7 linked regions of the Macaca mulatta genome follow. The protein of the gene in region 6 purifies or fractionates together with the protein of the main gene of each other region. This does not show direct contact. Links are inferred from orthologs where the notes say so. Each region holds a gene or a part of one and is shown on either strand. Other genes may lie near its edges.

What was found.
Region 1: the proteins of NAPA (region 6) and SCFD1 purify together in Homo sapiens (affinity purification with mass spectrometry; 3 studies listed by BioGRID and IntAct, with this or other methods). This does not show direct contact. The link is inferred for Macaca mulatta from reciprocal best matches to the Homo sapiens genes NAPA and SCFD1.
Region 2: the proteins of NAPA (region 6) and NAPG purify together in Homo sapiens (affinity purification with mass spectrometry; 3 studies listed by BioGRID and IntAct, counting the BioPlex papers as one, with this or other methods). This does not show direct contact. The link is inferred for Macaca mulatta from reciprocal best matches to the Homo sapiens genes NAPA and NAPG.
Region 3: the proteins of NAPA (region 6) and VAMP3 purify together in Homo sapiens (affinity purification with mass spectrometry; 3 studies listed by BioGRID and IntAct, with this or other methods). This does not show direct contact. The link is inferred for Macaca mulatta from reciprocal best matches to the Homo sapiens genes NAPA and VAMP3.
Region 4: the proteins of NAPA (region 6) and STX16 purify together in Homo sapiens (affinity purification with mass spectrometry; 4 studies listed by BioGRID and IntAct, with this or other methods). This does not show direct contact. The link is inferred for Macaca mulatta from reciprocal best matches to the Homo sapiens genes NAPA and STX16.
Region 5: the proteins of NAPA (region 6) and VTI1A purify together in Homo sapiens (affinity purification with mass spectrometry; 3 studies listed by BioGRID and IntAct, with this or other methods). This does not show direct contact. The link is inferred for Macaca mulatta from reciprocal best matches to the Homo sapiens genes NAPA and VTI1A.
Region 7: the proteins of NAPA (region 6) and STX12 purify together in Homo sapiens (affinity purification with mass spectrometry; 4 studies listed by BioGRID and IntAct, counting the BioPlex papers as one, with this or other methods). This does not show direct contact. The link is inferred for Macaca mulatta from reciprocal best matches to the Homo sapiens genes NAPA and STX12.

Annotation. Positions count from the first base shown.
Region 1 is NC_133412.1:103,727,499-103,731,715, reverse strand, and holds the start of SCFD1 (sec1 family domain-containing protein 1), read right to left. Parts: upstream 2,882-4,217; 5' UTR 2,870-2,881; coding exon 2,812-2,869; intron 1-2,811. UniProt on the Homo sapiens protein: Plays a role in SNARE-pin assembly and Golgi-to-ER retrograde transport via its interaction with COG4. Involved in vesicular transport between the endoplasmic reticulum and the Golgi.
Region 2 is NC_133423.1:81,479,254-81,483,597, reverse strand, and holds the start of NAPG (gamma-soluble NSF attachment protein), read right to left. Parts: upstream 2,826-4,344; 5' UTR 2,713-2,825; coding exon 2,657-2,712; intron 2,534-2,656; coding exon of another isoform or gene 2,157-2,533; exon of another isoform or gene 1,505-2,156; intron 1,182-1,504; exon of another isoform or gene 587-1,181; intron 1-586. Other genes in the region: uncharacterized protein LOC114673869, read left to right, coding at 2,157-2,533. UniProt on the Homo sapiens protein: Required for vesicular transport between the endoplasmic reticulum and the Golgi apparatus.
Region 3 is NC_133406.1:233,019,383-233,023,727, forward strand, and holds the start of VAMP3 (vesicle-associated membrane protein 3), read right to left. Parts: upstream 2,803-4,345; 5' UTR 2,740-2,802; coding exon 2,738-2,739; intron 675-2,737; coding exon 605-674; intron 1-604. UniProt on the Homo sapiens protein: SNARE involved in vesicular transport from the late endosomes to the trans-Golgi network.
Region 4 is NC_133415.1:111,443,234-111,447,259, reverse strand, and holds the start of STX16 (syntaxin-16), read right to left. Parts: upstream 2,851-4,026; 5' UTR 2,114-2,850; coding exon 2,033-2,113; coding exon of another isoform or gene 1,970-2,032; exon of another isoform or gene 1,902-1,969; intron 1-1,901. UniProt on the Homo sapiens protein: SNARE involved in vesicular transport from the late endosomes to the trans-Golgi network.
Region 5 is NC_133414.1:124,588,109-124,592,329, reverse strand, and holds the start of VTI1A (vesicle transport through interaction with t-SNAREs homolog 1A), read right to left. Parts: upstream 2,826-4,221; 5' UTR 2,667-2,825; coding exon 2,573-2,666; intron 1-2,572. UniProt on the Homo sapiens protein: V-SNARE that mediates vesicle transport pathways through interactions with t-SNAREs on the target membrane. These interactions are proposed to mediate aspects of the specificity of vesicle trafficking and to promote fusion of the lipid bilayers.
Region 6 is NC_133424.1:59,984,905-59,989,009, forward strand, and holds the end of NAPA (alpha-soluble NSF attachment protein), read right to left. Parts: intron 3,252-4,105; coding exon 3,183-3,251; intron 2,316-3,182; coding exon 2,265-2,315; intron 1,273-2,264; coding exon 1,171-1,272; 3' UTR 520-1,170; downstream 1-519. UniProt on the Homo sapiens protein: Required for vesicular transport between the endoplasmic reticulum and the Golgi apparatus. Together with GNA12 promotes CDH5 localization to plasma membrane.
Region 7 is NC_133406.1:213,128,209-213,131,792, reverse strand, and holds part of STX12 (syntaxin-12), read left to right. Parts: intron 1-843; coding exon 844-949; intron 950-3,584. UniProt on the Homo sapiens protein: SNARE promoting fusion of transport vesicles with target membranes. Together with SNARE STX6, promotes movement of vesicles from endosomes to the cell membrane, and may therefore function in the endocytic recycling pathway.

The sequences.
Region 1 (4,217 bases), on a different chromosome or scaffold from region 6:
ACCACAGGCACTGTAGTCATTGGGGACCTAGCAACTGAAGAAAACAGTGAATAAAATCGCCTGTCCTCAAGTAGCTTTCATTCTAATTGGGGGATAGGGAAAATAAAAAAAAGATAATAATAAGTAAAACACATGGAATGTAGATCATGGTAAGTGCTATGAAGAAAGGTAAGATTGGGAAAGAGGAAGATGGAGTTGGGGTGTAATTTTAAACAGAGTAATTGGGGAAGGCCTCCTGAGAAGGTAACATCTGAGTAAAGACCTAAAGGAAATGAGGGAGTGAGCCATGGAGATTCTCTCTGAAACAGTATTCCACAAAGAAGAAACAAATACAAAGGCTCGAAGGTGGGAGCATTCCTGGTGGGTTCAAGGAGAGGGAAGAGAAATAGGGAATGAGGTCCAAAAGCTACATGGGAACCAGATCATATAAGTAAGGCCTTGTAGAACACTGTAAGATCACTTTGGCTTTTATCATGGTTGAAATGGGAAGAAGCTGGAAGACTTTGAGCAAACATATGGCATGATCAGTTTGGGTACTGTGTGAAAAATAACGAAGGAGAACAGGATCGTAAAAGCAAGGAGACCAAATAGGTTATTGCAGAAATTCATAGTGGATAGGATCTGGAAATAGCAATGACAACAGTCAGATCCTGGATGTATTTTCAGAGTAGAACTGACAAGATTTACTGAAAGATCTTACATGAGACATGAAAGAGACAAGTCAAGAAAACTTCAAGGTTTTTGACCTGCAACTAAAAGGATGCAACTGCCATTAACTGATATGGAGCAGACTGAGTTCAGATGGGAGGGCCAGACTAGGGATATAAACCTGGGAATCATCAACATAGAGAATACTGAAAGCTAAGTTGCTAGATGCTAACACTAATGGGACCCAGCAACATTGAGAAGCAGGGAAGATGTGCAAGAACTTGTAACGAAGACGCATTCAATGAAGAACAACAGTAACACAAAGCAGGAGGCAACTGATTCTACCTGTTGAACTGAAGGTATGGATAGAGAGGACAGTAAACCTGGAAGAAAGGAGATAGCTTGTGAGCTTGTGGGATGACATTCAAAAGACCAATAAAGATTTTTCAGGCAGGCAAAGCAAGAAACAGGCATGTTAGTTTACCTCTATCTTACTTTCCTCACCTGTAAAATGGAGATAATAATACATAATCACCTAAAGCAATGCCTAACCATAGTAAATGCTCAATAAATGCTAACAATTATCTCATCCACCCAAATATTTCAGTATCGAGAATATTTGAGGATTGTGAGTTATTTCCCAAAACATTCTCAATAGGCATGAGGGAAATAGCTAATTCTGTATTACAATATATACACAAGGATTTACCTTCCTCTGAAAATGAGGCAGAATTCAATGACAGTAAAAATATGATAAAGAATAGATCTAGCACAATCTATCTAGTAATTCTGTAAAATCTCAACTATGTTCATTTCTGCAGAAATACAAACGATTAGATTTTAATGATCTACAAAGTTTCTGCATACAAGTTTACTGCCATGCAAATTTATTTTTCAAAAAGCTCTCTTGTATTGGTACAGTTTCACTGACACGTTATTTTAATATGTAGTATAGTCATCAGAAACACAGCATTAAAACAAATGGAGCTTCTATTTGCTTAAACAGATACAATGAATGGCAGGTATGCCCCAAATCTTATTTGAACTTCCCTATATTTGATTATGCCTGACTTCACCTGATAGGTTACACTAAATTATTTACTGGGAAAAGCAGAACGCAACTCAGCATCTTTTGTGTGTCATTACTAGATTGAAGTCTAACATTTTTCTTTAATTTCTTTAAATGCCAAAGAAAGGAATCAAGTACAGCCCAAATTCCTTCTGTAGGTCATATGAATTATAAATTCATTTTTCTATTCATATTTATATCCAACAGGGCATAATTTCAGCAAACAGAATTCCAAGTATGCACATGCTTGACGCCTTATTTCTATTAGCTCCTCAGAATAAATGGCTTGAAAACTTTTAAGACAACTAGTTCAACCTTTAGTTTGTAGCTCACAGGTATAAACCAAGTTGTCGTAAGTTTTCAAATAAGGCAAAACTAATTTCTAAGAGGGAAAAAACCCCAAAACTCAAGAATATGTAGCTTCTTACATTTCTCTGCATAAATACAAGCTATATAAACATGCTCTATTGAAGATAAAATATTATTTTAAAACAATAATCTGTCAAACAATTAAAATGAGAAAGCTATTAATTCAATTCCTCAATGCCTTCCAGCAAGGTGAAGGAGAAAATCTTTTATCACCAGGCATTTTTCTGCAGGTACCCCCAAAAGGCTGGTCCGAAGTAGAGAAGTGGCGCAAAGCAGGCCGCTGTGAAAATACCTAAATTCTGTAATTGTGGTGGAAGTGCCAGAAAATGGGAGTTCTCTCAAAAATCAAAACCAGAACTGAACCACGCACAGAAACAAACTCGGAGACCTCATAGGTGGCAACATAGATAAGAAGCTATCTGCTGCTAGATCTTGTTGTGATGGCCTTCTGATGCCCACTAGGAAGGAGACAAGAGCAAGGCCATAGCAATCTGCCCACCGCTAAAGCTCCTTCTCCTGCACCACAGGAGGAACCGAGTCAAGCTAATGGCATCTTCTCCCCAAAAACTCAAAGGGGAGGGGCTCTTGATGTTCTAGGGACTGGATTAAACTCCCGGAGATCGCTCTCTGAGCTGCACGCACCACGACCGAGTGAGGGCGACAAGCACAGGAGAAGAATGTCGTCGGGGCAGTCACGAAGCTTCAAGAAGAGAGTAAGTCAGTACCTGTCTGCCTTTCCCGAATACTGGCTGCTGCTGCTGTCGCTGCCGCCGCCGACGCCATCTTGACTCCCACGAGCCACTGCCCGGCTGGCGAGCGGAGCCGGGGGATGACGTGGCTGCCCTTACCGCCCCGGAAGCAAAGCCCGGAAGGGCGGGGCAAAAGGGCGTGCCTGAGGGCCGGACTCCACCTCCTCGAGGAAGACCTCCACTCTCGATAGAACTGGGAGAGCCGGTGCAGGTTAACTCAGTGGCCCGTAATGTTAGCCGAATACTACGAGTTTTTATCCTGTCTTATCAAGCCACACTCTCTCAAATGGTAGCAACATTAAATTGAACTCTTAGGGTAGGAGCGTGTAGTGCTAAGAACCTAATTACTGAACTGTTGGCTTGGTGGCTTACAGAGCACTGACGGGGTGATAATACTCTAGGAGTATAAGGACCACAGGACTGAAGTAAATGAAGCTCCTGAAACACAGGCAACATTTTAACGTTAGCTCTAGTTTCTCAGTGCAGCAGGAGTCTTCCCTTTGCTCCTTTTTCCAGAGAAACAGAAAGCATTGGAGCTTCACTCTAATCTGGCATATTTCTCAGTCGCATCTCTTAAAAAAAAAAAAAAAAAAAAGGGTCTAGCTTTATGGTGGCGTTCTGCCGGCATGGACACGGGATCCAGGGAGGTACAAAATGAGAAATTAGCATCTCTCCTCTTTCCTTGTAGTAATTGCAAAATCACATTGCCGTGGGAAGGAAGTTGCCCAGGCTCAAGTGCGCAATCAGGGCTCACTGCAGCCTCAAATTCCGACTGTCAAACGATCCTCCTGCTTCAGCCTCCCAAGTAGCAAGGGACTACAGCGGCACACCATCAGGACAGGCTGATGTGCTGGTTTTTTGTTGTTGTTGTTTTTGAGATAGTATCTCACTCTGTCGCTCAGGCTGGAGTGCAGTGGCAGAGTCTCAGCTCACTGTAGCCTCGACCTTCTGGACTCAAGCAATCCTCCCAAACTATCCTTCCACCTCAGCCAACCCAGTAGTTGAGACTACAGACAGGTGCCACCACGCCCAGCTAATTTTTTTTTTTTTTTTTTTTTTTTTTTTTTTGTAGAGACGGGGATTCAGCATGTTGGCCAGGCTGGTCTTGTGCTGGCTGTTTAATGTACACTTGAAGCCACATGACCACAAAATTTACGGGATTTCTAACTTAATCTATAGATTTTACTGTATGACAAAAATGGATACACAATGACAGCTCATTTCCCGAGTTCATTGATGACACTTCATTATGAAGCTGCACCAAATTCTGAAATGAAATCAGACTCTGCCTCAAAAACTTGACTTTCAAAATTATATAAATGAAATGAAGTTAGCCTAACGATTATGTAAGACTGTTTTATAGTGTGAAACAATGGCTTTTT
Region 2 (4,344 bases), on a different chromosome or scaffold from region 6:
GTAACTGTCTAGCAGCATTTCAAACTAACACTTCAAGCCTGAACCCCACACCTCCCTGCCCCAGACCTACTCACCAAGCACATCCATTAACCCCTATCCCCTATCTTGGCTGAAGGCCTCTCCCACTCCCAAGTTAGAAACCTGGGAGCTAACCCTTCATCTCTATATGTAGGCAGGTCATTAAAGCATGTCAACTACATACTGACAAATGTCACCCAATCCCACCCCTGTATTGTACTTGAATCCAGGCCATCACCACCTCTCCCCTGAAGTCAACAACCCACTAACATGTCTGGCACTACCTTCATGGGACAGTCACCTTTCCTCCTCTTCCATTCCCCACACCCGGAGCATATTACCTTTTCCTTGCTTCATATCTCCACCATACTACACTGAATACTTCTAGCACTGAATATCTTCTTTTTAGTCCTCTGTTCACTTGTCTGCCCGTCTGTGAATTCTAAGTTCTTGAAGAAGGGGCCACTTTGGTTACTCCAGTATCCTCAGTGGCTGGCACAAGTACGCAGAGACAATTTGTAAATGTTTGTTTACTGAATATGTCAAAGTTCATTCTCCACACTGCTGCCACGTTTTTCTTTTCCTTTTTATTTTTTATTTTTGAGACAGAGTCTTGTTCTGTCTCCCAGGCTGGAGTGCAGTGGCACCATCTCTGCTCACAGCAACCTCTGCCTCTGGGGCTCAAGCGATTCTCCTGCCTCAGCTTCCGGAGCAATTGGGATTACAGGTGTGCGCCACCACACCTGGCTAATTTTTGTATTTTTAGTAGAGACAGGGTTTCACTATGTTGGCCAGGCTGGTCTTAAACTCCTGACCTCAAGTGATCCGCCCACCTCAGCCTCCCAAAGCGCTGGGACTCCAGGCGTGAGCCACCGCGCCCAGCCTGCTGCCACATTTCTTCCACCAAAAGCAAATCTAACCGGGTTCTCTGGTTAGATGCCTACAACAGCCATCTGAGAAGCCGTCCCTTCACAGTCTGGCCCCAACTCTTCTTCACTCCAGCTCGTCCTCTGGCACTGTGACTACACTACATTCACTGTTCCCAGAGCACATTTTCAGGCCCGTGTATAATACATACTACAGTTTGCGCACAGAATCTCTTTCACAAGATTTCCCCTCTGTCTAAAACATTCTGTATTTTTCAGGCCCTGCTCACAAATCATCTCTTCCTCAAATTTTCTTTTTCTTTTTTTTTTTTTTTTTTGAGAAGGAGTCTTGCTCTGTAGCCCGGGCTGGAGTGCAGTGGCCGGATCTCAGCTCACTGCAAGCTCCGCCTCCCAGGTTTACGCCATTCTCCTGCCTCAGCCTCCGGAGTAGCTGGGACTACAGGCGCCCGCCACCTCGCCCGGCTAGTTTTTTTTGTATTTTTAGTAGAGACGGGGTTTCACGGTGTTAGCCAGGATGGTCTCGATCTCCTGACCTCGTGATCTGCCCGTCTCGGCCTCCCAAAGTGCTGGGATTACAGGCTTGAGCCACCGCGCCCGGCCTTCTTCCTCAAATTTTCTCATGAAGAATAAACTTCTCCCTCTGCGTTACCTATGCACAGTTAATACAGCTTTTTTTGTGGTCCCTATTCTACACACTACTCTTACTACAAATTTTGCGTTTGCTCCCACTAGAAAGTCAGATTGTTGTGGGAACCCGAGCCCCAGTACCTTACACACTGACTGCCTCAAGTCATGTGATAGCCTGAGTTTTTCCACTGTTCGAAAATTGGCTCTGCCATCTTTCACCTGTGCGGTTTGGCATAAGTCGTTAGGAGGCTTCCCCAAGTCTCATTTCCTCTTACGAAAAATTATCATCTCTATTTGGAAAGTTATTGTGAAGATCTCAGCTTACGAAATGATGTATGTGAAGCCCCCACCACAGAGCACGATGCTGGCTTTCTATTAACTGTAACTGACAGATAAAAATGCGCTGGAGTAATGAAACGGGGGGGGGGGGGGAAGAGGCTGCCCAAAGGATAAATTAAGGAGTATCAGTTCAGTCCCACAAACATTTGCTGGGTGCCTACTACGTACTGTACCAGAGGTGGAAGGACATACACATCAAAGGACGAAAGGAGCACAGTCCCTGCCCACAGGAAAAGTAAACTGCCAGATGACAAAGGTTCACCGAGGAGTTTTTGGGGTAAACCTATGGTCCCCTCCACACAAGGAGCTTTTCAAGGGCAGTGGTTCTCGACAGGGCGATGTTGTACCCCAGAGGACATTTTGGGTTGCCACAAACGGGGAGGAGGTGCGACCGGCACCCAGCAGGTGGAGGCCAGGGATGTTGCTAACGAGCCTCCGACGCACCGACAGCCCCGATCACAACAAGTAGAGAAGCCCCCTTTACCTACCAGCCCGGCAGCACCGCGCCGGGTCCCCGCCCACACCAGCCACGGGGAGCGGACTTCCGGCGGGGCGGACCCACGGCGCTGCCCGAGGCGCAGCGGACCTGACTCCAGCCCGATCCCGGGAGCTCGACCCCGGGAGTGCGACCCAGGGGACACCGAGCCCCTGCAGCCCCGCAGGTACCAGCGCGCCGGGTCCCCTTATCCCTGACCCCTCCTTCCCGCCCCGCCGGGTGCTAAGGCCGCGCCAGTGAGAGACGGACCCGGCGTCCACACGCAGGCCCATGGAAGGTTCTCACTCACTATTTCTCTGCTTTGGCGAGGTGTTCCAGCCCCTCGTTTATCTTCTGGGCCGCCATCTCCACAGTCCGGTCTCTGACGTGGAGACACGGTGCGCCTACCTCTTCCTCGGGCGCCAAGAATCCGCCCAAATAGGCGTGGGAACGCCGAGGAGGAGGCTGGTGCAGCGCGACAGTCGAGCGACTACGGAGGGCCGGACGGCCCAAGCCTCTGCGGCGAAGCGGGGCTGGGAACCAACCGGGGCGCCCCGCAAAGAGACATCGCGCAGGCGCAGCGCTTCAAGGCTGGCCGCACCCAGGGCATCTAGCGCAGGCGCGGTGAGATACTGATGGGGCGTGTTCTTTCATTCAGTTTTTGCAGAGCACTTAATATGTGTCAGGCACTGTGCTAGACGCGGGAAAATCGGCAGACAAAAACTCCTGCCCTCTTGAAGTCTTGCTTTTTCATTGATGTGAAACTGTGGATCCTGTTTGTAGGGTTATTTGGCCTTATAATTTATTACATCTGAAGTTTCTCTGTATCACAGATAGAATAGTATTCATCTTTTTTTTTTTTTTTTTTTTTTGTCGGAGTCTCGCTCTGTCACCCAGGCTGGAGTGCAGTGGCCGGATCTCAGCTCACTGCAAGCTCCGCCTCCCGGGTTCCCGCCATTCTCCTGCCTCAGCCTCCGGAGTAGCTGGGACCACAGGCGCCCGCCACCTCGCCCGGCTAGTTTTTTGTATTTTTAGTAGAGACGGGGTTTCACTGTGTTAGCCAGGATGGTCTTGATCTCCTGACCTCGTGATCCGCCCGTCTCGGCCTCCCAAAGTGCTGGGATTACAGGCTTGAGCCACCGCGCCCGGCCTTAGTATTCATCTATCTATCCATCCTGCCTTTTGGGTATTAATCGTATGTCAGTCAAGAAACGAAACAGACTTGTAAGCCCTGATTACTGTCTAATAATCCGTGCCCGGCGCAAATAATCGCTCTAATATTTCAAGCCGCGATAAGTGCTCTAAACGGGAAGTTGAGGGATCTAAAGTCGCGTACAGTGGTCTGGTAAAAATAGTAACCAGTAATACAGTTGGCTCCATTCATAATTCATGGTGATTTCAATATCCACATGGATGATTCCTGCAATGCTTATACAGCCTCTCAGCTTCCAGCCTCCTGTGATCTTCCCACACCAGCGCAGCCACACACTCCTGGTATTACACCATTGACTTTACTCATAACTGTGTGCCCTCCATAGTGTCGGTTTCAAGCAGCTCACTTTACATTCCCTTTCCATTCCAGCTCATACCTCTTAGTGCCAGTAATTACTTACCTGCATCAGATTCCTCACCTCTCCCTATCCCTCTGCTCTTACACTTCCCTCTTTTCCCAGCATAAATTCAGGTCCCATCATTTTAGTGCATGTACTCTCAACGGCCTTGGCTCCCTCTCCCTCCTTTCTCCCAGCCAGGAAAAACCCCAACTCTCCACCTACTCTGGAACTCCTCTTGAGCAAGTGAATTTGACTGGAAAAAACAAACGAGCATGCTAACATGACTCATTTTAATGATCATAAACATCAAGCCGACCTTTGGTGCTGCTGAGCAACGCTCCCACATTTCCGTGGTCAAATCACTCACCCACTCTTTCGGGGGCTGTTCACACCTTCCTTCTCAAAACTCCTACACAATCTCTGCTTGCCTGCCAACTCTCACTTC
Region 3 (4,345 bases), on a different chromosome or scaffold from region 6:
TAGTCTGAATTTCTCAATCTTTTGCTGTGGTTCTCCACATACAGTGCAGAACAAAAGATGAAGGTCCTCTAGCTCAAGAATTCTACAAATAGAGATTTGCTGGGCTAATGGAGTTTGACAGTATCTACTTTGTGTGAGTCAGTGGACAGCCATTAGAGATGAATTCTACAGAGAGGCTTGCTCAGGCTGGATAACTAGTAAGTGGACAAAGCATTTTGATAAAAAATCTGATCAGAAGAACTGGTCTTGGCTTGAGCAATCTAAAGACCTAATCCTAACATTGTATTATCCTATTTTATAAAGTGGTTCTTGGGGAATACACTCAGGGAGTGGTGTTCATGTTTTAAGCATATGATTTTTTATTTTTCCTGAGCTAAATGTTATGAGCAGGTATGTGATTCTACCACAGGAAAACAAGCATGAAACCTAGAAAGTCTGACTTTTGCTTAGATCTTCCAGCACAGCAGGGAGCAAAGTTTTGTTACAATTATGATACAGTCAGAATTTGCTTTACATTCACACTTTCATGATACTTTTTCTAAACAGATTTCCAGAGTGCTCATACTTGTTTAAAATTCATATTTCCAACATTTCAGAGCAATACCTCATCTACTTGATTTTGTGTCTGCTGAAGTCTTCGATTACTGCCAGGGGCAGCAGTTGGACCTGTAGACCTGGAACATGTAAAGGCAGGAGCATGAGTAAATTATGATTCCAAATACATTTTCTTAAGTATAAAGAAGTTACTCCGGGACTCTCACTGTTAACAATTTCTTACATTAGAACTAAAGCAGAAAAAGAAATTCTTCCTGAAGCAATGAACAAAAGTTTTAATTACATTTCTTCTAATTTCTCTATAATTTCCAAGACTGTCCCACCTACTAAAGGGACAAACGTGAAGGTTTAATAGGACCTACTTTGTATCCCTGAAGTATCTGATCCCACGACAGGTAAACTCTACTGTCCTTTTTTGAAACTTGTTCTAAGGCACACATCTGCTTGAACGTACTCAGTACTCTCCTGATCTTTTCATTGTGGCAGGAACTGTTTTCATAGTTATAAACAGTTATAGAATGCCCTTTTTCCAATATAGAAAAATAGATTAATTTACAGAAACAGAGTCAGGAACACTGGGATGCAGGGAGCGGTTGGTGTGAGTGGAAAGGTGTGTTGAAGCAATGCTTCCCCTTTTAGGAAGGTACTCTTTTTTTTTTTTTTTTCCTCTTTTGAGAGACGGAGTTTCCCTCCTGTTGCCCAGGCTGGAGTGCAATGGTGTGATCTCGGCTCACTGCAACCTCCGCTTCCTGGGTTCAAGCAATTCTCTTGCCTCAGTCTCCCAAGTAGCTGGGATTACAGGCATGCACCACCACGCCCGGCTAATTTTGTATTTTTAGTAGAGACGGGGTTTCACCATGTTGGTCAAGCTGGTCTTGAACTCCTGACCTCAGGTGATCCATCTGCCTCGGCCTCCCAAAGTGCTGGGATTACAGGCATGAGCCAGCGCGCCCGCCCCGGGAAGGTACTCATCTTTTAAAATCTTCATCAAAGGCTTTATTTCTCCTCATGCAGATCCTTCTTAACCACTCTGACTCTGAAGTCATTATTGGCTCCATTACTTGGAAAGTATCACTTTGGTTTTTCAGGTATAAAGTCCTGCCTCCTCGAATAGATTACAGGTTCCTGGGTCTTCTTACTCTCTTCTCTGTATCCTAGATAGCACCTAGCATGTACCTTAGTATACAACAGTCTGATGGACTGTTTGAACAGTCACTTTACATCTGTCATGTGTCAATGACCAGGGCTACAACAGATCTCATCGCCGTCCTCACAGAGTTTAGTGTCTGGTAGATAAGTAAGGACCATGCCGTGGTGCTAGACTCTTTTCATGCATTTTCTCCTTCAACTCTCATAACTCTCTGAGGGGAATATTACTCCCATTTTACAGATGAGTAAAGTGAGGTTTAAAAAGTCAACACAGCTGGCTGCCGTTCAGATTGTTTTTAGATCAGGTCCTGTGTACCTGGGATCTAGATCTTAACCACTGTGATCTATTGACACAGCAGCCTCAGCAGGAACATTCGAGGGGGGGTCCCCAACTCCTGGAAGAAACCCGGGGCTTCCTCCGACGGTGAGCAATGAACAGAATGGAGGTGGAAGAGAGGGTCCTTGTGATTCTTAACCATGAACATTCTCTGAGCGTTACCACTGGAAGCACCGGTTTGCAAGGGCCACAAGAGCGCTTTCGCTTAAGAGTGCGAAGGCCCACGGTTAAGTGATCTTTCCAGTGCAGATGCCCCTAGCCAGGCAAGGAGCTCTTGGGCCCACAGTGGCTCAGCACAGGGCCGAGGTCCTTTCTTTTGCAACTTCCGGGGCCCAACTGGGCCGAGAGCCGGCCCTCCCGAACCAGGGCAGTCGTCCCCGTTCCTCTCCGGGACCTCTGGGACTAGAACGGGAAGGGGCGAGGAGCGGGGTGCGGGCGGGCAACTCACTTCCTCCGGGAAGCGCCTCGCCGCCCCGCCCTCGCCCCTTCCGCGTCCGCCCCATGGCAGCGGAACCCGCCCGGCCCGTCTGCAGCCCGCGCCCCAAGGGCTACCGCCCACCCCCAGGCCTCGGGATCCCCGCGCAGCCCCGGCCTGCGTCCGAGCGGCGGCCGGCGGCAACTGGGCGGTACGGCGATCCCAGCGCGAGCTGCCGCCTGCGGGGCCCGAAGCCGCCCGCGTCGCGCAGCGTCACTCACATTTTGGCAGCGGCGGCGGCGGCGGCGGCGAGCGAGGGTCAGCAGAGCAGCGAAGTAGGGACCGGAGGCCAAGGAGATGGGCGGAACGGCGCGACTCCGGGCAAAGACGTCACTAGGCAGGGCCGGCGGGAGTGGGCGGGGCGCAGAGGGGGCGCGCCGGAAGTGGGCGGGGGCGTCGTGGGCGGGCGCGTCGTGGCGGGCTCGTCCAGGGCGGGGTCAGAGCGAGATGTCCACTCCCTGGACTAGGTCACTTGGGAACTTGAGGGCCACAGGGGTCCCAGGGCGGTCCGGGCTCTGAAACGCAGAGTGCAGGTCAATACAGCTTCCTCTCTGCACCGCGGCCCGCGCTGGCGCTTGGGGACGTGGTCTGCAAACGTGGCGCATTAGGCACTGGCTGGGGACTGTGTGGATAAGTGAGGGTGGGCGCAACTCATGTTATTCTGGGCTCGGGACCATTTCTCTCTAACAGTATTAGAGACAGATGATTGGCTTCTGCTGAATGTTCCAGATTAACCTAGTGATCCCGAGGGCACCATGTTTCTCTGAGAAAGTAGTTGAAATAGGAAGTCCATTTCAGGTATTTGTCACATGGGGTTGGGTTAGGTTCCCGCTCATGTTTTCCTCGGTAACACAAATATTTGTCCCTGCAGATCATATTATAATCTGCTTACGAGAGCCTTAGCATCAAGACTGTAGTTCCTTCATTTCTGTATTTTTAGGCCCTAACACAGAATAGGTCCTCAGGTTTTGGTCGAAGGGAGGGAAGCACAAATCTGAACGCAGTGAGTTACCTTGTATATATTTGTCACTGAAATATTCCTACCAACACAGTTACCGACATCAAAAAATAAAACACTATAGGTGTTTGGTCATTGGTGGGTCTCTTAAATGAGAAGTGAAAAATACAGTACTTAAATACTATGCTGTTTTTTCCAACTCTAAATAGAATACTTCGAAAAGGGAAACATTCGTATATATTCGAATAAACGAGACTGTCACAAAGGCGGTGGGATTTGAGCTGGGTACTAGCAGAAAAGAACTTTCCAGTAAGGGTTGGACAAACACCATGAACAAAGACAGCAGTGAAAATGGACGCAGTGTGCACAGACCACCTACAGGGTGCAGGTTGGGTACAAGTGAAAAGAAGACTGAATAAAGAGGGTAAACAAGAAAAATGTCATTTGATTGTAGTGGGCCCTGGAAACCATTGACTCACGGACTTGGGAGATCCGTGCTGCACAATTTCTCTGGCAGTAGCGGCCAGATGGATCAGATGGAAGAGGGAGCACTAGGGAGATAAGGAGAGGCTCTGCAGTGAAAGGGAATGGAGCAGCGATGACACAATACTCAGAAAGGAGGACGTTCGTCATCGCTGGAAAATGCCTTTTAGAAGACTTTCAGAGGATTGTAACTGAAAAGGTGAATTAAATTAGTGTCTATCTTTCAAATAACTGCACTGCCTTACACAAATGATTGATATGTTGAGAGGCGCCTGGAAAGATAGGTGAAAAGCTCTCTGAATGGTGGCTGGAAGACATTTTTTCTTTCATGGACCTAGCTGAAACAATGTAACATTCAATGTCAAAACATTACATCTGGATCAGAAGG
Region 4 (4,026 bases), on a different chromosome or scaffold from region 6:
ATTTTTAGTTGGGTTTAGAAATCATTTTCAAAAAACTGTGAGTTAGGTAAATATATCTGTATATATCCTGACGTATCTATTTTTCCAAACTGTATACTTTAGCTATCCATTTTTAGTTCTTTTGCTTAGCTTAAATATTTTTTTTAAATTGCCTAACTTAGAAAATAATTTTCTAAAGTGGTTTGATTCAGAGAAGGACTTTTAAAAAGCTTCCTGTCTCAGATACTAAGTTTTTAAACCATCTGACTAAATGGGGGAAAAAAAAAACCCTCATGTTACCCAAAGGTTCAGGGTATTTTGAACCTTAATGATTAAAAATTGAAAAATAAACAATATGTTTTTCAATCAATTAAAACTGATACCTTAGAAATCTTAATATCAGTTTCAGTTGTTTTTGAGGCAGCACAAAAATCAAGTCATTTAAGGAACATGTAGTTCTTATTTAACATTACTGAAGTACCATTAAGGAATTGTATTCATCCAATTGCTACTCAATTTCTTGGCTTATTTTTTTCTTCAAAATTAGCGCTAGAATTAGCCCGTTTCTATGCTACCAGACATCTTTATATTTATTTCAATATAATGTCATTCCTTTCAGTTTATAAATGTAAAACCCTTCAACTTCTTAACTGAAATCTCACACACACTCTGTCCCTGTTTCTAGGCTTTTTGACCTGAGTTTACATGCTTTTATTCCTGAAACCGCTCATATGGCTTAAAATCACTTTTCTATCAGTTATATGGCCAAAGACATTCTCCACTTGTGACTTACAAAAAGGAGAAACTGTCTTTGTAGACATGATAATCATGACATATGGCAAAATTTTTCTGAAACATTTAGATAAAGTCACAAAGAAAAAAATGAACTGGCAATACAGTCCCTAGGAGGTGAAATAAATGCGGGGTTTCCAAAATTGCCTATCAAGTATAATCCCCAAGAATGTGGTCCTGGGATGGCTATAACCCGCCTGTTCCAACGCTGCTTCTATTCCAACCTAGCCTCCCTACAGCAGGTAGCCTGAACTACAGCCAATTTCATAACTTCACTTTTCAATTGAAGACATTACCGAGCTAACGATCACTGTCTGGTATAGATCATCTAGACTCGCCCCTTATTTAACAGAGCAGTAAACTGAGGCTCAGAAAGGGAAAAGTAGCCCCCATTAAAAACAAACCAGAAACAGTAATTTTTCCAGGACCACCCTTAAAAAACACTACTGCTAGGCTAACTAAAGGTTCTGGCTAATTTAAAAAAAAAAAAAAAAATGTTATTTTAGAGGGTTAATTTTCACATATACCTCCTCAGGCTTTTTTAAAAAGTTCGAATGGAGAGGAAAGCGTAATTTCCCGTCTGGGAAATGGAAAGTGAAGAGGCTAGCACCTCGAGTCTTAGAAACCCAAGCCCCCAGGAAGAACAGTGAAACAATTATTCATAGGGAACAAGGCCACACAAGGGCTGCGGGACCGTTAAAACGGGCAGAAAAACAAAACAAAACAAAACAACAACACAACTGCTTCCTCTTTAGGAGAGGGAGTCGTTCATTTGCAAGGATTTGGGTCCATGGTCCCGCGACCCAGCCATTAGGACCGAACTGAGGCTCACTATTGGGGGGAGGGGAGCTTCAAACAAAACGAAACAAAAAGGCTTCAGAAAGGCCCAATGCTTCCCAATGTTAGCGTTAAAACATATGTAAATTACAGGCGGCCTGTAGCGCAGTGACGCCAAGGCGGGGGATGCGCGGGGGGGGTGCTGCGGAAGTGAGGAGAAGACAAGGCAGAGGTGGAGCTGCGGCCTCACAGCACCGCTTTTTCCCCATCCAGGGTTACAGATGCCCCCTGATTCTAGCCAAGAGATCTTATTATCCTTAGTCTTATTATTCTTATCTTCTTTTATTAAACAGAGAGACAGACAGAGACAGACAAACAGGCAGAGCCGCAGTGCACACGGTCCGTGTGTCGGAGAGGCCGCCGGGAGACTCACCGCAGCAATGCTACGTGAATGCAGAGGGCTGGAGGTGGTGTGACTACTCACTTGCTCGGCTAACAGCTGCCGGTTTTGGATGGAATTATTCCGCAACAACAAGAAAGCGTCGGTTAAACGCCTGGTGGCCATGTCTCACCCTTTGTGACCCCCCTCTCAGGGGCCCCCCGCCCACTTATATTCCTGGTTTATTCACTTTCTTTCTCTTGACCCGGCCGGCCCACCCTTTCACAGAAGCTTCTCGACAAGGCCTCAGGCTTCAAGCCAAAAAGACGCAGCTGTGCCCTTCGCCAAAGCGTAGAGACCCCTCCCCAAATAACTACCTAGGCTTTCCAATTGTCTGACTCCCCCTACCCAGGACCGACTTCGATCTCTAAGCACTTGAATCCCCCCAATCCTTGCGTAGCGATCCAACGTTCCAGAGACCCCACCCCAATCCAACCTTGGATCTACAAGCGTCTAACTCGCCAATCCAGCTCTGGACTGGGAGGCCCTGAAGCCCCCTACTCCCTGAGACCCCCAAAGGTCTTTGCTCTCTACCCCTAACTTGGCTCGTAAGCGTCTAGGCCGTGCCCTGAGGTCTGGCTGTGACTCAGTTTCCCCACCAGAGGCCTGGCCTAGGCCCTCTTTGGACAACCGGAGCCAGGCCTGAGGCCTGGACTCCAGGGCGCCTGCAGCTCCCTTCTGGGGCCTTGTCTGAGCCTGCTGAGGCCCTGCCCGACCTCCTGACCCCTTCCTTTCCTGGGTGGCCTGGTCCTCCACTGCCAGCAGGCTGCTGGCCTGCAGGAGGACAGCAGGGCCTGCCTCCCCGGCCTTCTCACTCCTCTTCTCCGGCTCCCTCCATCCCCGGATCTGACTGCAGCTCAGCCCCGGGCCGTTTCCGTACTGTGGTCCCGGGTTCTGGCGTCCCCCCTGGCCCTCTTCCTGTCCGTCCCTCGCGAGTGCCCCCCTGCGACTCTCGCAAGCCTTGCTTGCAACGTTCCGGGCGCGGGAGCTCCCTGCACTCCTGCCCCGGGGCACGAGAGTGCTCCGCCCTCTCCCGGGGTGCTCCTGGGGCGCCCCGTTTCGCCTTCCCCAACTGGGTCTAGGCACTAGGAGCAGGCCAGCGAGCAGGCCCGAGCCTGGGGAGCGTGACCCCCAGGCTGCAAACCGCTGCCAGGGCCCTTGGTCCCTGCATTAGAGTGGAAGTTGCGCGGCAGGCAAATTTGGGCTCCCCGAGAGCCGAAGTTTTGGGCGCGGGGAGTTGGAGCGGGAGAGGAAAAGTTGGAGACGACTGCCTCTGCAGGCCGAGCACGCTCTACTGCAGGCGCTGGCGCTCGCTTTTTTTTTTTTTTTTTTTTTTTTTTTTTTTTTCCCACTCTGAAAAAAGATGTACCCGACAAACAACCAGGAGGAAAAAAAAGGAAAAAAAAAAAAAAAAAAAAAAAAGCGAAAGCTCCAGGCAGTCTGGCCGCGCAGCCGCCGGCAGTCGGGGGTCGTTGGGGGCGCCCGCCCTCCCCAGCTGCCGCTTTCTGTAGGTGGCACTACAGGGTCGTGGAATCTCAAGTGGAAAAGTTCCCCGAAAACTTTGACACCTCCTGCCCCCGTCCCCGCGAAAAATATCTCTGTTCCCCGCCTGGGCCCTGGCCCGGAGCACCCCGCGCCCCTGGCGTCCCGGGCCCGGTTTCTCGCCGTTGGCCAGGCCCGGGGCGCCCTAAGCACCCCGGCTTGCCGTCCCGGGCCAAGTCGGCGGGGTTCGTGCAGGGGCTCCTCGGGGCCGCGTCGGGCAGCAGCTGCCCGGGCCCGAGCACGGCGCCCAGAAACAGGCGGGCGCCCAGTGACGGAGGCTCTGGTCTGGCCCGGAGCCGCCCGGGAAGCCTGAGGCCAAGGGCCTGGCCCAGCGCTCGGCGGGAGCGGGTCGAGGGCGCAGAGCTGTGCTGCTGCGCCTTCCGGGCCCCCGGTCTGTCTAGGGCCGGCTTCCCCTTGCCGGGCGAGGGTGCGGGCCGGACTCCGGAGTGGGGTTCCAACAAAACACCTAGGCCCCAGAAGCGGCCCCCACGCGTCCT
Region 5 (4,221 bases), on a different chromosome or scaffold from region 6:
GGAGTAGCCTTGAGCCAGGAGGGAGAGGTTGCAATGAGCTGAGATTGCACCATTACACTCCAGCCTGGGCGACAGAGCAAGACCCTGTCTCATAAAGAAAAAAAAAATAAAAGAATTATGATTATTCAATAATACAAGTCAGTAAGCATTTTTCCAGAGCCAGCAATGCAGTCTCCTTTCAATTGTAACGTAGCTCCTGTGTTTGGGCCTTACATAATACTACAGCTAAGGAGAGGCACAGTTTTTTTTTAATTTATTTATTTGTTGAGATGGAGTTTCGCTCTTGTCACTCAGGCTGGAGTGCAATGATGCAATCTCGGCTCATCGCAACCTCTGCCTCCCGGGTTCAAGCGATCCTCCTGCTTCAGCCTCCTGAGCAGCTGGAATTACAGGCACGCGCCAACACACCGGGCTAGTTTTGTATTTTTAGTAGAGACAGGGTTTCTCCATGTTGGTCAGGCTGGTCTCGAACTCCCGACCTCAAGTGATCTGCCCGCCTCGGCCTCCCAAAGTTTTGGGATTATAGGCATGAGCCACCCGCGCCCCACCCACAGTTTTATTTTTAAGGTACTGAATTCAAACAGTTTCCTTCTATGTGTTAAGAATTGTTACATTAAAATATAAAGGTAAGAAAAAAATTGTGACACGATCTGTTTTCTTGGAAATAGTTTTTACAACTTTGCATGCGAGGATGATTTTGTTACCTTGTAAAACAGCTTCCCAATACAAAAGCTAATAACCCAAAGAAATGTTTCTACTGCTAAAACAATTACAATTAAAAATGAGTAAAACTCTAACTGGAACCACAAGTCCTGATACTCTGAGGCTCTGGGACTCAATTCAAAGGAAGTGGTCTCCAACAATAACAAAAATCAAGATGATCTCTGGCAGTGGAGAAAAGCAGAACTGAAGAGAAGAGGCGAGGTGATGTATCATGAAGAGGTGAGGCCATCAGCCACTTTCGACACAAAAATCTCTGAGGCAGCAGAGCTTGGTGGTATATACTACCTTGGTTCTCTCCTCTTGTTCCCTTACTTGGACTCATAAACCTCTTTAAGACATCATCCATCTCCTCCAGAACTAACTGGGGACTTCAGGAGATGAGTGGGTTGTAAGTTCAGAGATCCTGGCTTCAAGCAAATATCCGTATTAACAGAAAATAGGTGAGGGGAAGAAAAACAAAGAAATAAGGGGAAAAAATTACTTATAAACATGTAAGTTTTGGGGGAAGTAGGGAAAGGGAAAGAGGAATGACAACTTAGGTCCGGGAGAAATTACTGCTAGTACCAGGACAACTGGGCAAGTGAAGTGCCCACCAATCCGAAGATTAATGAGCGCATCCCCCTTTCTACACTTTACATCCTGGAGCTAGGGTAAGGACAAGCCTAGCAGCCAGATGATGGTTCAGTTTCCCTAACAAAACTAAACAAAAATGTAAAATCCTTTTCTGTGATTAACTACTCAAATCTGTAGAGAAAGATAATCCCCGAAACAACATTTTCCAAACCAAAGTTACAAAAGATCATATTTATATTCACCTGCTCATTCACTTATTTTTCTGAGCCCCTAATAAGTAAGCACCAAGCAAATCAGACCCAGCTCCCACCTTCACAAAGGTGACAGTCTAGCATAGAAAATCAGATGTGCTAAAACACAAAAGCAAACCCCAAAACAAAAACACTTCCAGATGGGAGATGTGAAATTTTTTAAGTGTGAAAAACTATCTTGTACCAACTTTGACATAAAACTGCGTTATATAATAAATCCCCAAGAAGGATGAGAAACAAGAAATGGGGATGGGGAGATATGAAAAATACTAATGCTAATACAGCAACTAACAACACCAAAGGGGCTTTAAATATGTTTTTTAAATTTAATCTACCTAACAACCCCATGACAGAAGTACAATTTCCCCCCATTTACTAAGAAGAAAAGTTGAAAGAGACTAAGCAGTCTGCTTAAGAGGCACAACTTTTATTTTATTATTTTATTTTATTTATTTATTTGAGACGGAGTTTCACTCTTGTTGCCCAGGCTGGAGTGCAATGGCGAGATCTCGGCTCACTGCAACCTCTGCCTCCCCAGTTAAGAGGCACAACTTTTAAGTGACAGAGGTGGGATTTGAATCTAGGCACCCTGATTCCTACCTCTATTTTGCCACATATAATTATAACAATATTATTACTAACACAACAACGCCGCTGTAGATTGTAGATCCATCAACTACGTACTTTCATTCATTTTCTTTTAATACTCACATCTCTAATTAACAAACGAAAACATTAAGACTCTTAAGACGTTAAGAAACGTTTCCAGGTTATACAAGTTCCAAGGGAGTGAAGTCGGGATTCGAACTCAGATGGCTCAGATTCCGAAGGCTCTTTTCACTGCACCCCACACCCGAACTTGACTCTTTACCCTCAACCAAGGCAAGCCCTACCCCTCCGGGAAACAGCCAGCACCACCCACTCCAGCCTCGCGCCTCACAGACACACTTGTTCGGGCGGCGTTCCACCGCCCGCACCCTCCCCGCGCTCCCCAGCACCCTCGCCCAGTCGGGCAGAGCTCTCACCAGGCGGGAGTCGTGGGACCCTCGCAATCTTGCTAGTGATCTCTGCAGTGAGCACCGCGAAGTCCTGCTCGTAACCTTCGAAGTCGGACGACATGACGGCTCCGGAACGAGTGGCCCAGGCCAAAGCCTAGGTCAGGGAAACGGCCTCGAGGGGCAGCGAGGGGCGCCGCGGCTTAGGAACCCCGGGAGGTGCCCCCGAGAGCAGAACGGAGAACCGGGAACAGCTCTCAACCCAGTCGCTTCCTGGTTGTTCGTCGCGATCTCGGTTCTCCGGAAATTGGGTTGCGTGCGTGCTTTATTTTCCGCTCCGTCTTTAAGATAATTAAGTTCGCTAAGGAAAAGCGCCCCAATTAGTGGCCCCCCAAAAAAGCGTATGAAAATATGCAGGTTCTGAGGGATCATTAGGAGAGTTTTTTTTCCCCTTCGTGTTCTGGGAATCGGCTCCGGATCCCCAAGCTACAGGTCACAGGAACTTGCTTCCGGAGGGAAGTTTGAGGCGGCGAACCCCCGGAAGTGACTGTAACGGAGACTGCGCAGGGGTCCTGAGCGGGAGAGTCGCGACGAGGGCGCTGGTCGAGAGGCATTTGGCTTGTAGCAGGTCCCGCACTCCAACCTTTCGCGGCCAGGGTTTGCTCTCTGCTTGTCCTGGACTGAGGTGCCCATGACGGAGTTATCCAAGGAGGAAGAAATCTGTTCCGGGTGAGCCCAGGCCGCCCCGGATATGCGATGGCTGAAGAGCGGACACCAGGGACCACACTGAGGTGGGAGTCAAGGCAGGGAATATAAGCAGGATTTTGGTGGTCTTTGCCCCCCCAGAGTAGGAGCCGGCCCTCCTGAATGTTGAGACCGACCTGGCTTACTAGGATATTTTTTCCTTGGGTGAGGATTTATTTCTAAGCCCTGTGCTCGATGACTCGGGCGGGAAACTGAGGCACAAGTCAACAGCGTCTGCTCTGTGGTAGTCTGTATTATCTATGTAGCTCAGATCTTCTTCCAGATCTTCGGATCCTGTCCAGGCAGAGATGCCCTTTCACAAATCTCCCCCGAGTTCGCCGTCCTGCCTTCCGTTTCCCTCGCTCCAGGAGGCACTTCCTCTTCTTTCTTCCCTGGAATCTTCTAATTCAGGTTCTTCTCCTGTATTCTTCTGGTCATAATTTCACACACATCACACACACTCTCGCTGTCTCTCTTCCTTTCCTGGCGTGCTCTCTTTGCTTTCACTCTCGCTCCTTTACTTTTGGGCCAGATTGACTGTTCTCTTGATGTTTGGGTGGCGGGATAGAGGGGAGACTGCAGGCAAATGGCATAGACCATGTCTGATTCACACTTGGCTTAATTCAAGACTTTAGAATTTCATAAAGGGAGTTCATTGACTTGCCTTCTATTCTGGTTCACCCGTTTGTGACCTTGGTCTAATCACTCAGCCTCTCTCAGCCAATTTCTATTCTGTGAAGAATTCGGAAACCGAATTAGATCAACTCTAAGGTCCTGGTTGTCAGTTCTAAAATTCTTTGTCTTCTCAAACTATTCACTAAGCATTGGATGGTGACAGTCCCCTGAGAAGCTGAGAAGGAATAAAAACAACTATTTTGGAATCATGTATCCAGTTTGCATACCATTCAAACTTGTACCATATTTTGGATAAGTTA
Region 6 (4,105 bases):
TCCTGCTATCTCCTCCCCCACTCCCCAGACCCACTCGGGCCTCAGACTCTGCCCACCAAAGCCGCTTCCTCCCCCGTCCTGTGACAGATGGAACAACTGTCACCGGGGCGTTCAGCCTTCCTGCCAGGGAAATGTGGACATGGGAGATTCGGCGAGCTTCCACCCATTCTCATCCAAAGCAGTCATGAGGATTGTCATATTCGACCCTCCCACTGGCTCTGAGGGGTGGCATCATCACCATGCATCCCAGTTGAGGAAACCAAGGTCCCTGGACCCCAAGAACCCAGAGAAAGTTAGATCAAGATGGGCGCTCTGGGACTTCCAAGCCAGAGCTCCTCCCCAGGCCCACCATCCCTGGGTCTCCCCAACCTAGAAACTGACCCAGCCCACACGTGTTTCAAGGATGCATGCTCCCAACCTCCCAAGAGCTTGCCCAGAGTCTGGGGGACCAGGAGTGTGAGGAGAACAGGTGACCGGCCCAGGGGCAAAGTGGGTAGCAGAGACAAGGAGGAAGAGAGACTCATGCAAAAGTGTTGTTTTTTATTTTCTTTCTCGGGCCAGCTGCAGCTTCCAACCAAGAAAACCTCAAAGCATTAGGGAAGGAGCAGGTGTGGGGCTGGGGTCGGGGACAACCCCCTAAGCTCCAGGGCCCGGGGTCTAACCTGAGAGGTCGGGGCTGCAGGAGGCTGGGGGAAGCTCCCAGAGTTTGGGGGAAGAGGAGCTTCCCCCCGTAGAGACAGCAAGTCTCAGCGGCTACATGTGCTTTAGAGCTTGGCTGGGGGACAAAAGTGGGAGAGACAGAAACCGGCCTCATGAATCAGCTGGTCAGGAGATGGGGGGCCAGATGCTGACCCCAAACCCCCGGCAGCACCCCTAGCAAATAGGTCTGTATCAAAGATTCTGTACAGCTGGTTTTGGGGGTGAAGGGCACCTATGGGGGCTTAAATAAATGGGCAGGGAGCAAGGGATGTAGCGAGAGCAGAGGGTGACTGTCCAGCCAGCAGCCTGGGCCTCTGGTGCCCCCGCATGCTGACCCCCGCTGCCACCTGCCCACTGTGGCCTGCGGGACTCCCCAGGTGGGAAAGGAGGGAAGCTCTCCAGCAAGTCTCGGCCCCACCTCTCTCTAAGCAGATGGGACACGAAGACGGGCGCTGGGAGGCTGGGTGGGGCTTAGCGCAGGTCCTCCTCGTCGCCCTGGATGGTCTTCTTGATGCGCAGCAGCATGGTGGTGAGCCACTGGTCCAGCCGGGAGATGGAGTCATATTCCTTCACCTGAGGGCACACCAGGTGATGGGCTGGCCATGCTCCTCCCTGTTCCCAACCCTGCAGCCCAAGGGCACTTGTCTGAAGGTTTTCAAGATCTGTCCCTGTCACCCTGGTCTCTGAGAAGGAGCAGAGGGAGGGCTCGAGGCCCCGACTCAGCCAGGGGAGCTCCTTCTTGTCTGTCTTGACTATGCTAGGCACAACATTTCCCTTGGGGGAGAGGGATTGTAGCTTTAAAAAAAAAAAAGGTCCAGCATCCTCATTGAATGGGTGGGAAACTGAGGCCTGGAGATACGGAAAAGGCCACTCCTGAGTGCCATGGGGCATGGGAGAGAGAAGCCGCAGCCTGCTGGGCATCCCCTCCCTGAGCTCCTGGCTGAGTTGCCACCCACTGTCCGGGGCAAGAGGAACCGGATGGCATTTGCTCGCTGTCCTCAGCTAGGGGCTTCCATTCCCAAGGGGCACCTGGGGAGAAATGCTTGACATGTGCCATTAGAGGAGCGAATCAGGACCTATAAGCCGGACGCCACTGAGCCCAGGAACGCTGGGAACAGAGAAAGGGAAGGGAGAGAGAGCCACGTGGGCGGCTCCACCAGGCAGAGGGAAGCTGGCGCCTCTCCCGTGTCCTCAGCTCCACTCTCCTTCTCACCCTTTCCCTCCCAGTCTGTGCCTCCTGGGTGCCCAAGGCGGCCACTGTGAGTCTCACACACTCAACTGGGGGACTCAAGGAACCCTGGTCTTCAGGAGCAGACAGATGTGGCTCTGAACACCAGCTCTGCCCCTGAGGTGCCAAGGCCACCATCTGTAAAATGGGGAAAACACTCCCTGCATCTCTTGGGGCTACTTGTGAGGTTTCTGGGGTGAATGGAGAAAGAAATTCACAGTGGGCTGGGGGCCAGATAAAAATGGGTGAATGTCAGGGGAGAGCATGTCTGAGAAGGGCGGCTTTCCTAGGGGACCCATCCCTGTGAAGGGGCCTGACCCCCATGCGGGCCACTCACCGACTCGGTGTAGCTGTCCACATTCTGCTCCTCGTGGGCCTCTAGCAACTTCTGCAAGGAAATGGCAGAGAGGGGTCTGGGGCCCAGGCTGACCTGAGGTCGGCCTGGATTAGATGAAAGCACACACTATCTATATGCCAGGCCTGGGGCTGGGGTTTCCTGAGGACTCTCAGAGGGTCAGTCCATGTGGGTTAAACTGGGGACAGGTAGGGGCGTGTTGCAATCCTGCTGCCCTACTCATCAGAAACGGCTAGCTCTCAGGGCAACCTTACCAACATAGAACATCACACAGAATGTGTGTGTGTGTGGATATGTGGTGTGTCTGTGGTGTGTGTGTCTGTGGTGTTTGGTGTGTGTGTGGTGTGTTTGGTGTGTGTTATGTGTGTGAGGTATGTCGTGTGGTGTGTGTTATGTGTGTGAGGTATGTCGTGTGGGGTGTGTGTCGTGTGTGGTATGTGTGGTGTCGTGTGTGATGTGTGTGGTGTGTCGTGTAATGTGTCGTGTGTGTGTGTGTGGTGTGTGTAGTGATTGTGTGAGGTGTGTGTCGTGTGTGGTGTGTGTGTAGCATGTGGTGTGGTGTGTGTAGTGTTTGGTGTAGTGTATGTAGTGTTTGGTGTATGTGGTATGTGTAGTGTGTGGTGTACGTAGTGTGTGTGGTGTGGTGTGTGTGTGGGATGTGTGTCATGTGCATGTGGGGTGTGTGTGTGTGTGTTCACCCAGCCATCCCGAGCTCCAGCACTCCCCAAGTTGTACTTTCTTTATCTGAAAAATGGAGAGTCAAATGGCCAAAGAAAAGAAAACAAAATAAACATACCCTCTGAGAACCACTGGACAAGTCTTGATGATTGTCCCACCTGGAGCCCCGGCCACCCCCATCTGGGGTTCGGGAAGGGGGAGGCTGGAGCACCCAGCACTTACTTTCATCAACTTGCATTCCCGGGAATCAGAGAAAGCTGGGAACAGCTCCTCATACTTCTGGACAGCCAGCTGGGCAGCAGGGAAGGGGGAGGATGAGTTAGTAACAAGAGGGCCCTCAGAGCTGCTGGCCTAGCAGCCGAGGGGACTTGGGGATGTCTGGTGATACTGAGTCAGCTCTTTGCGCCCCTCCTCTAGCCTCAGGTGTCACCTGGCTCTGTTTGTCAGTACCTTCCCGCAGCTGAGCTCAGCACCAGCCTGGCTGGCAGAGACGGCTGCAGGGAGAGGTGGGTGGAGGGGGAAGGCTCCTCAGACAGGTACCCACTGCCTCCTCCCACCTGGCTCAGCTGGGGCAGGGGACAAATGAGCACATCCTCCATGGCAGGCCTGGGGCTGGTGCTTCTTGAGGACCCTGAGAGGGTCAAATAACGGTGAGCCCCTTTTTGAAAGTGAGGGAACAGATCCAGAGGGGGCAGTGACCTGCCCAGGGCACGGTGAGACATGGGGTGGGAATGTGAACCTGGTCTGACAAAGCCCAAGCTTTTGCCCACCACCGGTGCCCACAGCAGAGCAGGGCTCTATGGGGTGTGTGTGTGGGGGGTGTGTGGGGCCATCACCCCAGGCCGTGAGGCAGGGGTTTGGGCAGCCAGGGACACCAGGAAATCCTGGACTCCATGCTTCTGCCAGGCAATGGCAGGAAAACTCCAGCCAAGCAAAATCTAGCACCAACCCTCCAGCTCCTTCCCTCTGGCCACGTCCCCTCCCACTGCCCTCTCTGGCCCCTCTTTTGCCAAGCGCCCCGAAAATAGGTGGGCATGTGAGCTACAGCTAAAGTCGTGACAACGGGAGTCACAAAGATCTGGAACGCTGGGACTACAGGTCCCTAGCCATGTGGCCTCAAACAAGGGACTCTGGTCCCAGCCTCA
Region 7 (3,584 bases), on a different chromosome or scaffold from region 6:
GCATGGTAGCTCAAGCCTGTAATCACAGCATTTTGGTAGGTTGAGGGAGGAGGATAGCTTGAGGCCAGGAGTTTGAGACCACCCTGGGCAAAAAAGCAAGACCCCTGTTTCTAAAAAAAATAAAAAGAAAAAAAGAGTTATAACATTTCACTAGCTTTCTGTTAAGAAGGTTTTTTTATGGTTTTTTTTTTAAATAGAGATGAGATTTGTGCTATATTAGCCAGGTTGGTCTTGAACTCCTGGCCTCAAGCAGTCCTCCTGCCTCAGCCTTCCAAAGTGCTAGGATTATGGGCATGAGCCTCCATGCCTGGCCTGTTAAGAGGTATTTAACCCAAAGCATAACCTCAAGGAAGTTTCTGAAAACCAGGAGATGTGATTCTGTTGAACTAACTGGCAAAGCACTGATAGGTCACTTAGCTTGCTCTTCTCCACCCACTTGGTACTGAAGGTACCAATGCAGCTTGCACTTTGAGAGTGCTCTGGAAGATGATGGGGCAACATAATTCAATGAGTTCAAATCTCTGGCTACTTTCCTTGTCTGGCAAGCCCCAGTGAGATTACAGAGCATACCCCTAAATGGAAGCAGCCAGGAGTCCCATCCCTCATAATTCTGCTACATGTCAGCTTTGTCCATGGAAGCTGAGTCTTTGTTTTCCTGGTATAATCAGTTCTTTGCTTCCGGATATGAAGAATGTGGCCCTCCAGTACTTTATTGATAGCAGAGGAGTGGAGCCCTGGTAATGTCTTTGCATAGGTTCTGCTGGCAGTAGAGATGCTGGCAGTAGAGATGTCTTGTAATGCCTTTGAGAGGAGAAATCACCTAGTGTGCTTGTCTGCCTGCAGCCATGAGGAGTGGAACCAGATGCAGAGCCAGGAGGATGAGGTGGCCATCACTGAGCAGGATTTGGAACTTATTAAAGAAAGAGAGACGGCAATTCGGCAGCTGGAGGTGAGAGCCAGGTCATGTTTTTTGTTTGACTCAGTGTATCTGCAGGTATCTGGACTCGTTAGTTCACTTTAATTCTCTTAGTGATTATGAAAAAGCATAAAATGTGTCATTGTGTGATTTGTATTTTTTCTGTCTCTGTGTAATCATGGTGGGTTTCAACTACTGTTTTTTTGTTTTGTTTTGTTTTGTTTTCTTGGACGGAATTTCGCTCGTCGCCCAGGCTGGAGTGCAATGGTGCAATCTTGGCTCACCGCAACCTCTGCCTCCTGAGTTCAAGCGATTCTCCCGCCTCAGCCTCCTGAGTAGCTGGGATTACAGGCATGTGCCACCACGCCCAGCTAATTTTGTATTTTTAGTAGAGATGGGGTTTCTCCAGGTTGGTCAGGCTGGTCTCGAACTCCCGACCTCAGATGATCCACCCACATCGGCCTCCCAAAGTGCTGGGATTACAGGCGTGAGCCACTGCACCCGGCATGAACTACTGTTATAACGGTATTGGCTTTGGTGCCCAGGAGTACTCAAATCCTTTCTTCAATCACCACGTCTTATATGGATCACCATATCTTATTTCTCCTGGAGAGATGTACATGGACAACAGAACAAGGCAGACAGATATTTTATTGCTCATTAGAACTTTGACCTCAAATCTCAGTGCCAACCTCTGGTTTAGGCAGGACTCCATGGAGAGCCCCTTTGCTTAGTCTGAAGAGCCCAGAATAAAGGCAGGCCAAAAGTCTTGCTCCATTTTTATGTATCCTAAAGTCTAATCCCAAGTTGTAAATCTTATCCCTTCAGTGGGTCAGAGAAATAGGAACAGTTTTTGAGGTGGAGGTTGAGGGAGAAGTCTGTAGGCCTTTCTTACCTAACTGAGCTTTCAACTTTAATTTTGCACAGTGACTAATAAAAATATCCTTTTTTTTTTTTCCAAACTGAGTCTCGCTCTGTCGCCCAGGCAGGAGTGCAGTGGCGCTATCTCAGCTCACTGCAGCCTCCCCCTCCTGGGTTCAAGCAATTCTCCTGCCTCAGCCTTCTGAATAGCTGAGACTACAAGTACGCGCCACCACACCCAGCTAGTTTTTGTATTTTTAGTAGAGACAGGGTTTTGCCGTGTTGACCAGGCTGGTCTTGAACTTCTGACCTCAAGTGATCTGCCTGCTTCAGCCTCCCAAAGTGCTGGGATTACTGGCATGAACCACTGTGCCCAGCTAAAATATCCTTAACCCTGAGTTTTCTCCAGTTTAGTTTTCTCTGAAGGTAGAAGGCTGCCATTGCTGGGATTGGGGGAGGAGAAAAGGAGAGAGGGAAATTTTGAGCAGTGGTTCTGAATGGTGACTGCATGTGAGGATCACCTGGAGAAGATTTTTTTTTAATGCCCAGCTCTCATCTAGCACTAATTATTTGATGGAATAATATGAAATTCCTGTTTATTATATGTTAAACATGGGCAAATATCCATTATTTTATATGGTTCAAACTAATAAATCATAATTTCTGGGCATGAGGCCCTGGGCATGGGTGTTTTTTTAAAAAGTTCCCCCAGGTGATTATAATGTGCGGCCAGGGTTGAGACCCACTGTCCTAGAGGCCATCAATGTCTGTTTTAATTTATTTATTATTTATTTTTTGAGTCAGAGTCTTACTCTGTCACCCAGGCTAGAGTACGGTGGCGCATTCTTGGCTCACTGCAACCTCTGCCTCCTGGGTTCAAGCGATTCTCCTGCCTCAGCCTCCCAAGTAGCAGGGATTATAAGTGCCTGCCACCACGCCTGGCTAATTTTTGTATTTTTAGTAGAGATGGGGTTTTGCCATTTTGGCCAGGTTGGTCGTGTCTGTTTTTAGATGGGATAGTTTATCCTTAAGTTATGATTATTTTATTGCCTTCAAAGATGTCATATCTTTACTCTTTTTCACCTACTGCTACTACTAATTGAATTAATTGTCTAACATTAGAAATACGGCTAAGTGCAATGGCTCATGCCTGTAATCCCAGCAAGTTGGAGGCTGAGGCAGGATGATTGCTTGAGCCCAGGAATTCAAGACCAGCCTGGGCAATGTAGCAAGACCTTACCGCTACATAAAATAAAAAATTAACTGGGTGCTGTAACATGTACCTGTGGTCCCAGCTACTCAGGAGCCTGAGGTAGAAGGATCACTTGAGCCCAAGAGATCAAGGCTGCAGTGAGCCACGATCATGCCAGTGCAATCCAGCCTGGGCAACAGAGCAAGACTCTGTCTCAAATAATAATAATAATCCTTCCTTTAAAAAAAAATTACTGGCCAGGTGCAGTGGCTCATGCCTGTAATCCCAGCACTTTGGGAGGCTGAGATGGGTGGATCACTTGAGGTCAGGAGTTCAAGACCAGCCTGACCAACATGGTGAAACCCCATCTCTACTAAAAATACAAAAAATTAGCCAGGTGTGATGGTGCATGCCTGTAATCCCAACTACTTGGGAAGCTGAGGCAGGAGAATCGCTTGAACCCGGGAGGCAGAGGTTGCAGTGAGCAATTGCATTCCAGCCTGGCAACAGAGCGAGACTCTATCTCAAAAAAAAAAGAAAAAATACAGTCAGCCCCTCGATATATGCAGGTTTTGCATCCTCAGACTCAAGCAGCCTTGGATTGAAAATATTTTT